Schizosaccharomyces pombe: one gene and its partner. Changing the gene in region 2 together with the main gene of any one other region gives a genetic interaction. Each region holds a gene or a part of one and is shown on either strand. Other genes may lie near its edges.

The links. A genetic interaction does not mean that the proteins touch.
Region 1: mutations in ppx1 (region 2) and rfp2 together harm fitness less than expected from each alone (positive genetic interaction), as found in Schizosaccharomyces pombe (one large-scale study listed by BioGRID).

The regions. Positions count from the first base shown.
Region 1 is NC_003424.3:1,678,516-1,684,343, reverse strand, and holds rfp2 (SUMO-targeted ubiquitin-protein ligase subunit Rfp2), read right to left. Parts: upstream 4,177-5,828; 5' UTR 3,931-4,176; coding exon 3,909-3,930; intron 3,856-3,908; coding exon 3,260-3,855; 3' UTR 2,873-3,259; downstream 1-2,872. Other genes in the region: 1-phosphatidylinositol 4-kinase Lsb6, read right to left, coding at 517-2,391; wdr70 (WD repeat-containing protein), read left to right, coding at 4,376-4,645, 4,702-5,828. UniProt on the Schizosaccharomyces pombe protein: Mediates ubiquitination and subsequent desumoylation/degradation of sumoylated proteins and proteins containing SUMO-like domains. Involved in maintaining genome stability where it acts in the cellular response to DNA damage.
Region 2 is NC_003424.3:3,944,555-3,952,368, forward strand, and holds ppx1 (exopolyphosphatase), read left to right. Parts: upstream 1-2,000; 5' UTR 2,001-2,023; coding exon 2,024-2,141; exon of another isoform or gene 2,142-2,183; coding exon 2,184-3,220; 3' UTR 3,221-3,375; downstream 3,376-7,814. Other genes in the region: GARP complex subunit Vps54, read left to right, coding at 1-1,489; plp1 (thioredoxin domain-containing protein), read right to left, coding at 3,376-3,687, 3,729-3,804, 3,853-3,939, 3,984-4,136, 4,181-4,392; qtr2 (queuine tRNA-ribosyltransferase accessory subunit Qtrtd1/Qtr2), read right to left, coding at 4,503-5,367, 5,443-5,624; splicing-associated factor Saf2, read right to left, coding at 5,966-6,961.

The DNA of each region.
Region 1 (5,828 bases), 2.3 Mb from region 2:
GATATCGAAAAGCACGTAAGCGTTTTTGCAATGTTTAAACATATTTGATTGTAAACAGGCTTAAGAAATAGCACATTTTTTCCAATCATTCACAAGCAGTAGATCCTAATACTTAATGAATTGAACATTTTTGAATAATAATCTAGGAAAGAATCGCAAACGCAAAGCAATTATAAACTCAAACAGAACTAATTATGGGTAGAATAAACACAAAAAAAAGAGAGTAAACTGTAGCTAAAAATATAATAAATTTTGTTATCAATGGACAATTATGAGGATTTCAGGTAATGTCGGATTTGTATGGTAAAAAAATTAAATTCCTCAATTATGATTAGAGACCTTCATGTTAACCGCTAACATCAAACTAATATTAATAAAATAGAATGAAGTAGCAATAAAATGATGGAAAAATTAAATTAACAAGGAACTTAGAAAGAACAGGCGAGAAAATAACATATGATACCTTCAAAGACTTAATCCTCGGAAATAGTAGCATACTATTACACAAGACTTATATTAACACGTGCTAAAGACCGCATTGGAAGAAGCACACTGGAGTCTTTCAAAAATTACATCCTTTAACATTTTTGGAGATGAACTATCTTTGGACAACAGGGTAATATAATTTAACGGCAGAAGTGCTTCAGCATTTGACGAAAAAGACCGACCGGGTGTCGCTTGTAATAATTGGCTTCCTGGATAAGGAGGGAAAGTTTGTGAACATGAAGGGTGCAAAATACTCCCATAATCTCGTTTAATTGGTAAACCAAATTCTGCTTCTTCAGAATTCGCAGACGTTGGCTCATTTACTTCGATACGAACAACATCCTCAACAACATATAAATTAGGGAGCTCAAGTAAATCATAAATATTCATGAGGGGATTCTTTAAAACTTCAACAATATTGTAGGCTTGCCCTTTTACAAGTGAAAGTTGCCGCGAAAACATTTTCTCATCGAAATCTAAATCTTGATTGAATACGTTTCGTAAATCATCACTTAGTTTTTCCCACCATTCTCGGCTAGTCAACTTGTGTAAAAAGAGTTGCCTGGTAAACTCTGTAAAAGGTTGCGTAAATAAGGAGCGTGGTAAAGAGAGCCAACCATAAGGAAAGGACCTCCAAGAATCCGGATGTTTATAAGGGAATGCTAACGAATTATCTATCGCTCCTATTTGAAAATGTGGTCCCTTCCAAAAATCCGACGTTTGGGAAATAGCAGGGTCTACCGAGTTCGCAGACATATTAGGTGTTAAATTCGTAGATAAAAGATTAATTGATTTATAATATTCTTCATTATCACAGGGTTCGTAACAAATCTTGATCATCCAGTTATCCAAATTACGATCTGTATTACGCATTAAATAATCGAGCAAAACAAGTTTTTCAAATTCAAACCGGAATTTAAGGCGTAATTCTTCGGTCCAAAATTCGGTCTCAATTTCGTTCTCAGCTAAGAAAGGATCGAAAATGTCGAAGTCCTCGCTGGAAGCTACAGACTCCGTGTACTCTCGGGTTTCTCTATGTCGAGTACCAGGCCAGGGATGTTGAGCAAAAAACTTGGATGCAACGACGAAACCATCAAGAAACTGCTGAAAAGATCCAGTCTTTTCAGGAAGAGGCTTATTCCTTGTCAGAAAAGCTTTTCGTGCAAAATAATCATAATTGAAGGTTGGAGAAGAAATTGATGCAACAGACGTGTATGGAACTAAATACAAACCCAGACCTCTATCTAGAACACAAGCAGCGGCTTCTGAAAGATACGAAGTATTCGGAATTAGACAACTTCTCCCAAAAAAGCAAGGAAATAAATTTCGATGGAACCATTTCGTCCATTTAGGATTTAGCTTTCCATACGGTTCTTCATCTTTGGGTTTAAATACAGCTATATTTTTTTGGACTTTATTTTTCACAAAATAAGATCCAGAGGACCCCTTGGAAATAAGGACCGGGAAAACGCCGTGGGCGATTGCTTCCTTTGTAGCATCAAGGAGTCGAACGTAGTCTTTATAATCATATCCAGCGTAATGGGGGTATTCCTCCCAATGCTTTTCTGCATGCAAAACCCAAGAAGGAGCCATGAACACTGAATAGTAAACTCGGGGTTTTGAGATTGATTCAGACTTTCGTCTTCTTGCTTGCAAAGACTTGCTTAATTTGTTAGCCCATTGACCAAATTTTGACTGGGTAACTAGCCCTTTTAAGCTTCCAAAGACTTCATTTCCCTCATTTTCGTCTGGAAGAAGAAGACTCGACGAAGACGAACTGTTTGACGAAGCCCATCCATCCCTTAACGATTCTAAGGGATTGGTCTGTTCCTCATTAGTGTTTAAACTATTTTCCTGATAATTTGGAAAAGAATCGAGAGTATCTGAATGGAATGTCGATTCCATAACGCCCTGTGCAAGTACAGCACAAAAGCAAGAATCAACGAAACTCGGCTTTTTTAAAATAAAACTCTAGAATGACCGAAACGGAAAAGTGATACTATGATATTAATGAGCGTGTCAAATCACTGCTAACGTATCTCTTTCCCTAAATTGCCTAGCAAAGTCTCTGTTTTTACACTTGGAACATGGTTAGCACTTGAATCAACTGCTCATAATCTTTGCTGCAATGAGTAACGTAATGTAGCACACTGTGGGTTTAGTACGTTAAGCAGTATATATATATTATATATACAATGTTTAAATACTTGAATCGATTAGATACTGTAAATTATAAACAAACATTACTGTATATTTGAAATTCAGAAAAAACTCTTTCAGGAAACTCCCTTGAATATACTAAGATTTTTAGCTGAAGAATATTTTAATTTGCAGTAAATAAATAAATTCAACATGAAATTGAACATTACGAGAATTCCTAGTATCCCAAATAATACTCATCTAAATAGTGTATTGAAAAGATTGAATCCAGATTTGTTTTTTGTAGAAGGTTTTAGGGTAAGAAAAGCTCTAATTAATTTCCCTTGTACGAAAAATGATGAATCAATATAGAAAGAAAAGCAATTGTTTTTGTGTGATAGCCTCGAAGACGGGAATAAATAATTGAAAAAAGGGGAAATAATCGTCAATAATGAATAAATCTTTTCATTGAGGATAATAGAGCACCTTAGTTCTTATAAGCATTACAAAAACTCGTATCCTTTAAAACCATTACTGGTTATTAAAGCAAAACAAAACGTTCCAAAAAATCGCCAGCGTATTACTTAACCGCCAAATATCCTCTATGGATAACACTTAGTATCCAATCGATAAATTATAAATATAAAGGAAATATAAATTTTTTGGTTATACGCTTTCTACAATGTTGCACCGGACAAGGCACAGTCTTCTTGCGTAACTCTTTTGCACAAGTAGAACAAAATAAGTGTCCACACTTTGCAGCAAAAATGGATTTTTTCTCATCACTTACTAACTCATTTCCACATTTTGCGCATGCAATATTATTATGAGGATGGACATCATAACAAAACCCAGGTGGAGGAGATACCCTTTCGGCGATAGAATTTGATGAATCCTGAGCTTTTTTTCTTGAATTTCGAAACCCATTTTCAAGAAGGGTTCTCCGTTGGGTTTGAGACCTGTTTCTAGTCCTTCGTGCACCATAGAATATCCCCCCTCCAACAGCCACGGGAGGTCGAGTGACTGGAGAAGGAATAGAATTAATAGTTGGAACATTAGAAAGATTAGCGTCAAGGTGGTTACGGCTTGTACGAATCCTTCGACGAGGCTGGAACTCTGGTATTCTCGTTAAATCTAGCAAAGTAACTTCTGAAACATCCGCACCGTCATCTTCTATATCTTCGGTTAGGTCAATAACCTCAGGGCTTAACCTCTGATCCCTTCCTGGTACTAGAAACGTGTAGACGTTAACATATATTCTATAAACCGAAATTTTCACTTACATTCTAGTCCATGCAGATTCATACAACACAAAGCATAAACCTTTATTAAATCCCAAAGCAATTATAATCTTATCAGTTTTTTTTAATGCAACTTGTAGGTAAAATCGATCAACCCCGTGAAATTCAAATGATTCGGCATCACTGTGTGTTGAAGAAAAAGAATATGCACACTGCTATAAATCTTTATTTTTAGAGCGGCAACGAAAATATGTACTCCTCGTAAGCTTCAATGTAATCTTCTTAGGAGATAAATCAATTAGCAAAGCCTAAATCGCTAACTTGGGTAGAATGAAGTACGTAGTGCTGCCACACCCCACAACTCAGTAATTGAAACTTCTCACCCTGCACTTTTCGTTACAAAATATTTTGAACAACTTGTTGTCAGTTAGTTAAATGGCTATTTGAAAAAAATAATAGGGAAACAATATATCAGCCTCTAAAATTTTACAATATCCAGATTTTCGTAAATGGATGGCACAAATAATACAATTCCCTTACAGTTTGGCAAGCAAGCACAAACATACGATATAAATGCGTTAATTGCAAGATTCATAAGACCGAAAGAAAGCTTTTTGATAAACAGTGTAGAAAAAGAATCCGAATCAAAACTCAACTCAAAGAGTACTACTTTACAATCCTCAGACTCTGAGGATTGGGATAGCGAAGAGAATGAGGACGACATTACGGACGTTGGCGTACCAGGTTCGCATGAAATTATGTTTCCGGGACATTCTAAGGTAAGTTGATTTTGTAGTTTTCTGCTTTTACTACATTTTTACTAATTTTTGGTAAGATTGTTACCACTACTACGTTTGACAAAAATGGGTCACGTTTTTACACCGGATCTTTGGACAACACAATCCATTGTTGGGACTTAAATGGCTTGTCTGCTACTAATCCTCATCCTTTCAAAATTATCGATCCTACAGACACAAATGCTGACAATGTTGGTCGTTATCCAGTGAGCAAATTAAGTTGCTCTACTAAAAACCAAATCCTTGCATTGTATACCCATTCTCAGCCGATTTTATATGACCGTGATGGCTCGTTGATTGTACGGTTTAGTAAGGGAGATCAATATATCCGTAACATGTACAATACAAAAGGACATATAGCTGAAATTACTGATGGCTGCTGGCAGCCTGATAGCTCTCAAATATTTTTAACTACTGGGTATGATAGTACTGCGCGTATTTGGGATGTTAATCGCACAAAATCGCAATTGGAAGTTTTCGTCCATGTACCAGAAGGTTCTCACACCGGACTGTCTCGTATACCAGTTACAAGTTGTGCTTGGAATCCAGCAAAACCCGATAATTTTGCAACTGCTGTACTGGATGGATCCATACAATTTTGGCAAAAGGGTTCTCGTACTAAACGACCTGTTATGAAAATTAAGGATGCACATTTACCACAACAAGGTATTTCCTGTCTTAGTTTTTCACAGGACGGAAATTATTTGTTAAGTAGAGGAGAAGACAATGCCCTTCGTGTTTGGGACTTGCGAAATTCTAATAAATGTGTGAATGAGCGTATAGACATTTTAACTCCTAAAGCTGGAGGCAACGCAATATTTTCTCCTACCCAAAAGCTTATACTTGCTGGTTCTACAGCTGTCAATAGCATGAAAGCACCTTTATTCGTTTTAGACGCAATGACATTAGATACGAAAGCTACGTTATTCTTCGATTCCAAGTCGACGGTTACTGCTTCCGTTTCAGCTGTCTCTTGGAACGAAAAAATAAATCAGGTTTCTTTGGGGTCGGCTGATGGCAACGCATATGTTCTCTTTTCGCCTAATGAGTCCATACGAGGAGTTAAGGATGCAGCAATGCGCCCTCCTAAGTCGAAGCATATTGATGACGACTTATCTAGCACTGTGCATATAAACTCATTGAGTGGATCCGCTGGAACTTCTGA
Region 2 (7,814 bases):
ATTTGAAAATTTAGCACAACAGTATTTTACCGATGGTGTAGAGATGCGCAGTGTTCGTAAATCCTCTGATTTACGTCGCAGCTTGAGTGCAGCCAGCCTTTCTAGTCTTTCAGATAGCTCTAGAAGAAGTTCATCAGCGGCGAATCCTTTTCAGAGCATGAGCATCACGGAATTTGCAGAAATGTTGACGAATATATATTTTTCATCATTGGAATGTCTGCGTCGCATTCGCAGCCAAATAAAAGTTTTAATAGATATTTTATCGAAAAAAGATACTAAACAATATCACCTATCTGTGATTCTTAATGATTTAATGGCCACGAGTTCCGATGTTGTTACACAACAAGTGACAACTATTAATAATCTTCGATTTCGAGTCTTGGATACTTATCCTCCTAATAATGTTATATACCTTTTTTCTTTACACATAATTTTTCATAATGAGCTTGAAAGTCTTTGCGGAATCACACAAAGCTCATTTATTCCAACTATAATGAGGCAATTACTGGACTGGTTTAAAAATTTTCAACGATATTCTACTCAGAAATTGGCATCAAGCTTTGAAAGGGAGCTATGGGAAGCGATACCTGTTGAACCATCCTGTCAAGATCTAGCTAATCGCGTGTTTGAATGCTCCGGTAATACTCCCGTAGAATGGACGCGACTATTATCTCCTGAAGCAGAAAAAGAAGATGAAAATCATAGGGTTCACCATGTAAAAGTTTCAGAGGACTGTACTGCTACGGTTTCGTTTGGAAAACAATCATTACATATTGTTCGGTCCTCTGTTACGTTGTTAGAAACATTGGATGATTATGGTAAACTTCTTGCTCACTTTTCAAGATTGGCTCCAGAGTTTCAGACTGGTATGCTAGATATGTTTCGTACACTCAATTCTCGGGTTTATCAATTAATATTGGGAGCGGGGACAGTGCGGTCGTCTGGCCTTAGTAAAGTACTTGGGAAGCATATTGCACTTGCCTCTCAAACTATCGCATTGTTTCAATTATCCCTTAATTCAATGTGCAGGTACTTGTCAAGAGTAACAGGAACTCGACTCACCAATGAAACTAATAAGTTGGATCAAGATTTCACCGTTCATCACTTACAAATTCATGATAAGTTTGTTAGTCTCATGAGGGAACGAGTTGCTATCAGTTGTTCCCAGATTGCTTCTCTTTCGTGGGATATTGACAGTCCTCATGGATACATTATTGATCTTTCAAAAAGTCTTATAAAGCTCTACAAAGTTTTACATCGCTACTCACAACGTGACTGTGTAGAAGTAATACCAGATGTAATTCGGATGTTCGAAGATAGACTGCAGTTGGAACTTACGGATATTGCAAGAAATCCATCCAAATGGCCAGGCGTTCGTATTGATTTGTCCTATTTTTATGACATGATGGCATCTAAATGCGGATATGCAGGAGACCGGACTTTATTGGAAAAATTTGAACGTACTCCGGAACAGCAGGAAGCGGCTTAAACATTTGTTTCGTCGTTTTTTGTAATCTATTTTAGTTCTTTTCTTGACAGGTATTTTGGTTATCTGCTTTTGTGCTCGAGTTACCGTCATATTCTTTGGAATTTTACATTTTGGTTTAACAATTTACTAACCTGAATGAATTCTAAGAATCCAAAAATTTTGTTGCAAGTTATGAACCAAGCAGCTTCTCTATAAAATTCTCCATTCTATCGATAGTTCTAGTATTCACAATGACGAATACAAATTCACTTATGACTACTAATCGGCCAGTTTTGATTTAGAGTATTACTCATTTAATTCGGAAATCTCATGGGAGCGTAATGTTTTCGACCGATTTAATTTCTTTTCATCTTCTCTCATTTATTATTGTTTTTATCACCTTTATTCAATTCCTTATGAAAATACTCATAATTGATTTAAGTGTATCAGTCAAATTCCTTGCTATATTGAGTAACTTGTTACTTTGGTAGTAATAGATTAGATATATTGGCTTGCACCTAAAGCCTGAAGTAACCTTTTCAATCTTTTGGTACAATGAAATTAGGCAGATTTTTAGAAAACGGAAGGGAGCAAATACGAAATCTCCTCTTAAATGCTTCGACTGTATCGTCTGCCCCGTCTTTTAGCTTTGTTAGTGGAAATGAATCAGCAGGTACATTAGTCGTAATAGACGAGAATTAACAATTCGTCTTAGATCTTGACAGTTGCGCTAGTTCAATCGTATATGCGTATTGCCTGCAAAGAAAACAGCTGGGTAGGATTGTAGTACCTTTTTTTAACATTCCTCGAAAGGAGCTACGTCTTAGGCCTGAACTGTCTTATTTGTTGAACTTAGCATCAATATCTTCCGATGATATTGTCTTTTTAGATGATATTGTAAAATTACCAAAAAGAATATTCAGTAATCCTATTTATTTAGTTGATCACAATTCTTTGGACCGTAAAGACCTAGAAAATTTCAACGGCAGTATCGCTGGTATTATAGATCACCACAAAGATGAAGGGGGATCCTTACATGCTGATCCAAGAATCATTGAGGAATGCGGTAGCTGCTGTACTTTAGTTTGCCGATATTTTATGCCTGTCATTAGATCTCTATATGATTCCAAAGTATCTGAACTTCACCAAACAGCAACCAACCTTGCTGTTTTGGCACTTGGCCCTATTTTAATTGATACTGGAAATTTAAAAAATGAAAAGACTACTGATACCGATGTTAAAATAGTAAATGACTTATGCTCATTTGTGCCAAAAGATTGGGTTCGAGATGAGTTTTTTGATACTCTGAAAGAGAAAAAGAAGAGCTGTAAGGGTTTTTCTTTTGATGATCTACTACGCAGGGATTTAAAACAGTATTTTCCGGACGGAATAGTCGTCAATTATGCCAGTGTTGGAAAGGGATTAGATTGGATCAAGAAAAAACGTCTCGGATGGGAAGATGAATTGAAAAGTTTTGCCGAAGTGCAAAATTCTGATTTGGTAATTGTTGGGTTATCTCTGAGTAAGAACGACGAGTTTGGTCGTCAATTGATTTTATACAAGCGTACTGAAAGGGGAGCTGGTCTTGCCGATTCTTTCTTAAAACTTAGCAAACAAAATTTAGGATTAGAAATTATTGAAGAGAAAGATAATGGCGACCTCAGTATGTGGAATCAAAGAAATTCCGCTGCTAGCAGAAAGAAAGTAGTTCCCTTACTTATGGACTCAGTTAAACAAGTCGCTTCAAAATAGTTACTGCTTTAGACTCCATTGTGATTTCTGTTCTGTACATTTTACGATAGCTACACTCATCAGTAGGCTTATGATAGATTTTAAATTTTTTTAAAAGGATATATATTATACATCACATTGATCTAAATTTCTTACTTTGTAATCCCAAGATCCTTTTATTCAAAAAAATCACTGTCATCTGATTGATTATTTTGTAGTTCATCGTGGTAAATAGACTTGTTTGAAGAACTCTCTTCTTTTAATCGGTCGATTGCTGAACTCTTGAGCAACCGAAATTCTAGGAGTGAAGTTTCAAAATCATCTTTATTACCTAAATCAGCAAATCCGATAATCTTATCCACGAGCTGAGAATTTACGTAGCAAAGTACGGCTGGTAATACTTTGAGACCCAATTTGACTACCAAAAATGGAGCGTTGGCTGCTTCAATACGGATAAACTTAGTTTCCCAATGTACTTTGGCAATTTTCTGAGAATGTTAGCGTAAGCAATAAATGGAACTCCTCGTACCTCTAGATGAGAGTCTATAATTTTGCAACGTATAAAATCAGGGTGGTAAAAATGTATAACAACTTTTTTTGATGAACTAAAAAATAATTAGTTTAAAATAATCGAAGCTAATGTTTTGACATACAGCGTAAAATCCATAACTTCGCGCTCATTTTCTACAGTAAGAAACTGCATGTGTCCTTTTTCTTTTGCAGCTTCCACTCTAGCGAATCTGAACGGTTAAATTCTTAAAATCATTTTAAAGCTTTTTCTTACTCTTTTTTTAGCATCTCCAATCTCTGTTCTCGATAAGCAGTATCATCAAATTCATCCAACTGTGAAAAGAGCGCATCTTCCAATTCTGAATCACTTTCGGTTGCAGCTTGAGTAGCATACGTATCAGCGTAAAGATCAACTGTTGGGTCGTTACTAATGTCAACATTAGACATAATATGTACGCTACTGTAACCTACCTATTATGCAGTTCTGGTTCATTGTAATCCTGAGTATCCTCCTTTCTTTCAGTAACCTTCAAAGCTTCATACTCGTTGGCGATTTCCTTTTCCAAAGGAGATTTCATAGAAATCCAAGCAGGCTTGTTTTCTACAGGCTGAACGTTTGTCAAATCCATTTGATAACCACGTTTACGCGGCCCAAATCCATGGGATGCTGGAAAAGATGTCATATAAATTTCTTCAAATTTTCTAACATCTTCATCAAAGTTTCCCTCTTGTATGGAGGCGCGGATTCCTTGAAAAAAGGCAGTGAAGGCATAAACATTGTGTCTACAAATCGTTAGCTTTCTTTACCATGCTCTTTAATATAAACATACAGCTGTAAAAGTATCCAAGCAACTAGCTCTCTAGCCTGTAACAGATGCCTAACATAAGCGCGTTTGTATCTACGACATGTTTTGCAAACGCAGCCGGATTGCAATGGTTCCATGTCAGTAGCAAACCTTTCGTCCCACATATCCAAGCCAAGTTCAATTTTAGAATTCAACACATCTTTAGAAGGAGGCGGGAAAGAGAATGTAAGTGCAACACCAGCATCAGTAGCTTGTGTTATCATATCTGGAACAATAATGTCAATTCCTCTTTGAATGCATTTCAGAATTTCGAGTGGTGATTCAAATTTTTGAATACTCAGTCTTGGGAGACCAACCAAATCAGCTGGTAATGGATTGACATTGTTAGAAAATGCCAAGCCAGCAATGTTGTTAGCAAGTTGATTTTCTTGAAAAAACTGGAAAATAGGCGTAAGGTACTGAGTGTCCAGATCAGGAACAGGGAAAAATACTTTAGTAGTATTGAAAGCGTCCGTCGCTTTGAGTGCTAAAAGCAACTCAGTTGTCCAATTGACAGACCGTTCCACAATTTTTGGCTTCCTTTTGACACCAGGAGGACTAGTTGGGGTATCATTTAAAGGAATTACTAATTCAGGACAAAGCTTTAGGACAGCTTTAATATACAAGTCATTTGTCAGTTTCTTTGCACCACTTGCAGTAACGATATTAATATGACTTTGTCCTGCAGAAACAGATGGCAAAGGAGATGTTCTTCTTGGAGCAAGTAAAGTAGGTTGGACAGAGGGTGCTGCGATCCATTTTTTGATAGTTCCCTCATTAGTCAAGATTGGTGAGGCTTCCAGACGATCCAAGCTACAAACATATTAGTTAGAAATTCAAATTAAAAAAGATATGATAAAGCATTTGAGTCCTAAATTTAAACCTTACCAATCCTCCAACCCTACATAGAGAGCAGGAATATCGAATTCTTCAACATTGTCAGGTGTCAAATGAGGAACAGTTCCTCTGGAAGTAGGAAGGAAAAAGCAAGGAGTCTTCAGAACCTTGTTCTTCACCGTAACTGAAGATACGCGAGCCCCTGAAGGACTAGATAATGAAGAAATTGCCATCAATAAATCGCAAAATAAAGCTGCAAAAGTTTTGCTCTATTTACACATGTACGATATCAAAATAACGATGGTTCACTGTAGCACATTAAACGAATATTGCTATATGAATGTTTTTTAAATTTGAAAGATATTCAAACACAAAAGGTCGTCTAAACATTCGATTTATAATGTTGTAAAATAGCTTTGTTTGGATATCAGTAGTCTTACAAAACTGAAAGTTTTTAGTTAAGTAAAAAAAAAAATATCATTACATAAATTATAGTAAATTGTTTAGACTTTTTTTAAAGTTTTAAAGTAATAATAAAACATGCAAACAAGAAAGAAACAATGGAATAAAAACATTAATAACGGATAATTTTGCGACGGCGGAAGTCCTTTTCATCTGAAGCGATGTCATATAACGCTCTTCGTTTCATTTCTTTTTTCTCTTTTGTTCTTCGTTTCATTTGCTCCATCTCTTTCCTGGTATATCGCTTGTTTCTCCGTTCTGCCAGTAAACTTTGGCCATTGTGACTATTCAATGAAGAATTGATGTCAAAGTACTGTTCCATATGCTTATGTGCTTTGTTTTCTTCACTTCGCAACTCTGGTGAAGCCCATTTTGGCATAAACTTTCCAGATAGGCGATTGAACTGAACTTTCGCTGTGTAATCTAGGGGACTAGTCTGCTCTTCATCTTCTAACGGATTATTCCAGCTCGTCGTATTTGTTAAAGTGTCCCAAAAATAGTAAGCCTGTTGAGAAGGGTCCCAAATAGCGGCTATCCGATGACCCTCGGACCAAGCAATGGAAGGCTGTGCTTGGTTTTCATTTGTAGGGGAGTTAGAAGTATCATTTTTTGATGTTTCGGAAACTGTTTCGTCAGATAAAGGAGATTCTTTATGGCAATTTGTTTCAGGAACTGGTTCATTTGGTAAAGGTGGCTCCCCTGGTAATGGTTCCTCAGGAACTGGTTCATCTGGTAAAGGTGGTTCCCCTGGTAATGGTTCCTCAGGAACTGGTTCATTTGGTAAAGGCGGCTCCCTTGGCAATGGTTCCTCAGGAACTAACTCATTTAACAAGGGCTTTGATGCTTCAGAGGTTGGTTCATTTTTAGAAATACTCTCCAGATTTTCATATGTTTGAGTTGATTCAAAAGTGTTTTTAGGAGTATTTTCAGAAATAAATGAATTATCGGCATCCTCTCCAACTTGGGTATAATGTTTTCCTTGAATATTGGAGTTTTCGCTATTAGAACTGCTCGTATTCGATGAAATAAAGTCACCACTGTTCACGTTTGATGCAGGAATTGTTTGATCGACATTGCTAGTAGCTTTGCAATCTTTAGAAGACGACATTTTTTTATCAGTATGAAGAAATAATTATTATACAAAATACCGGGGACATTCAATTGCACATAACAAATAAATGGGATTTACAGCACAAAAAATAAGTACTGGAATGTAATCTAAATGGCTGAATTAAAGTAATTACAAGCAACACTATATGTTGCTGCTCTGGCGCAAGTTAACAACAAAAATTAATATTTCTGAATAACGTATCTTTGCGAAATACCACGAGTTCTAACTATATCTACTTTAAATGGATTAAGGCTCCACAGTGCGATTCAATATAACATTAATTAAAATGCACTTGGCCTGTTCATTGATGGCCAAAAAATTAAATATAATTTGGTGAATTTAACTCCTATATAAAAGTTTTGTTTTTTCAAGCCTAAGGATATCGTTGAAGCTATTGCTGTGGATTACCGATGTTAGACTAAATAATAGTTGACACCAATTCGATTTATTAACAGTTTATAAACTTTCTCCCTACATAGTCTTCTTTCTTCGATAATTACTTTAACACATATAAAATGGAATTGTAAATATACTAAACGAAACGATAAGACATAGCCAAACTATGAAGGAATTATGCATATAGCATTTGAATAAATTAAATACTGAAAGCTAAAAGAGCTGCTATAGAGTACAAACTCAGATTCTTATATCGCACCTGTGATGAATAAATGTTTGAAGAAGCGATTTTTATTAACGAAAATATAACATAATAAAAGAGCTTATTTTTTTTGCTTTGCTTTAAGATATTAGAAGTACTCTACTTTTACCCCATATTAAATGTTGAATAAGAAGATATGGTTTTCGCATTTGAAAGCACAACGTCCATGTCTTTTCGATTAAGATTCATTAA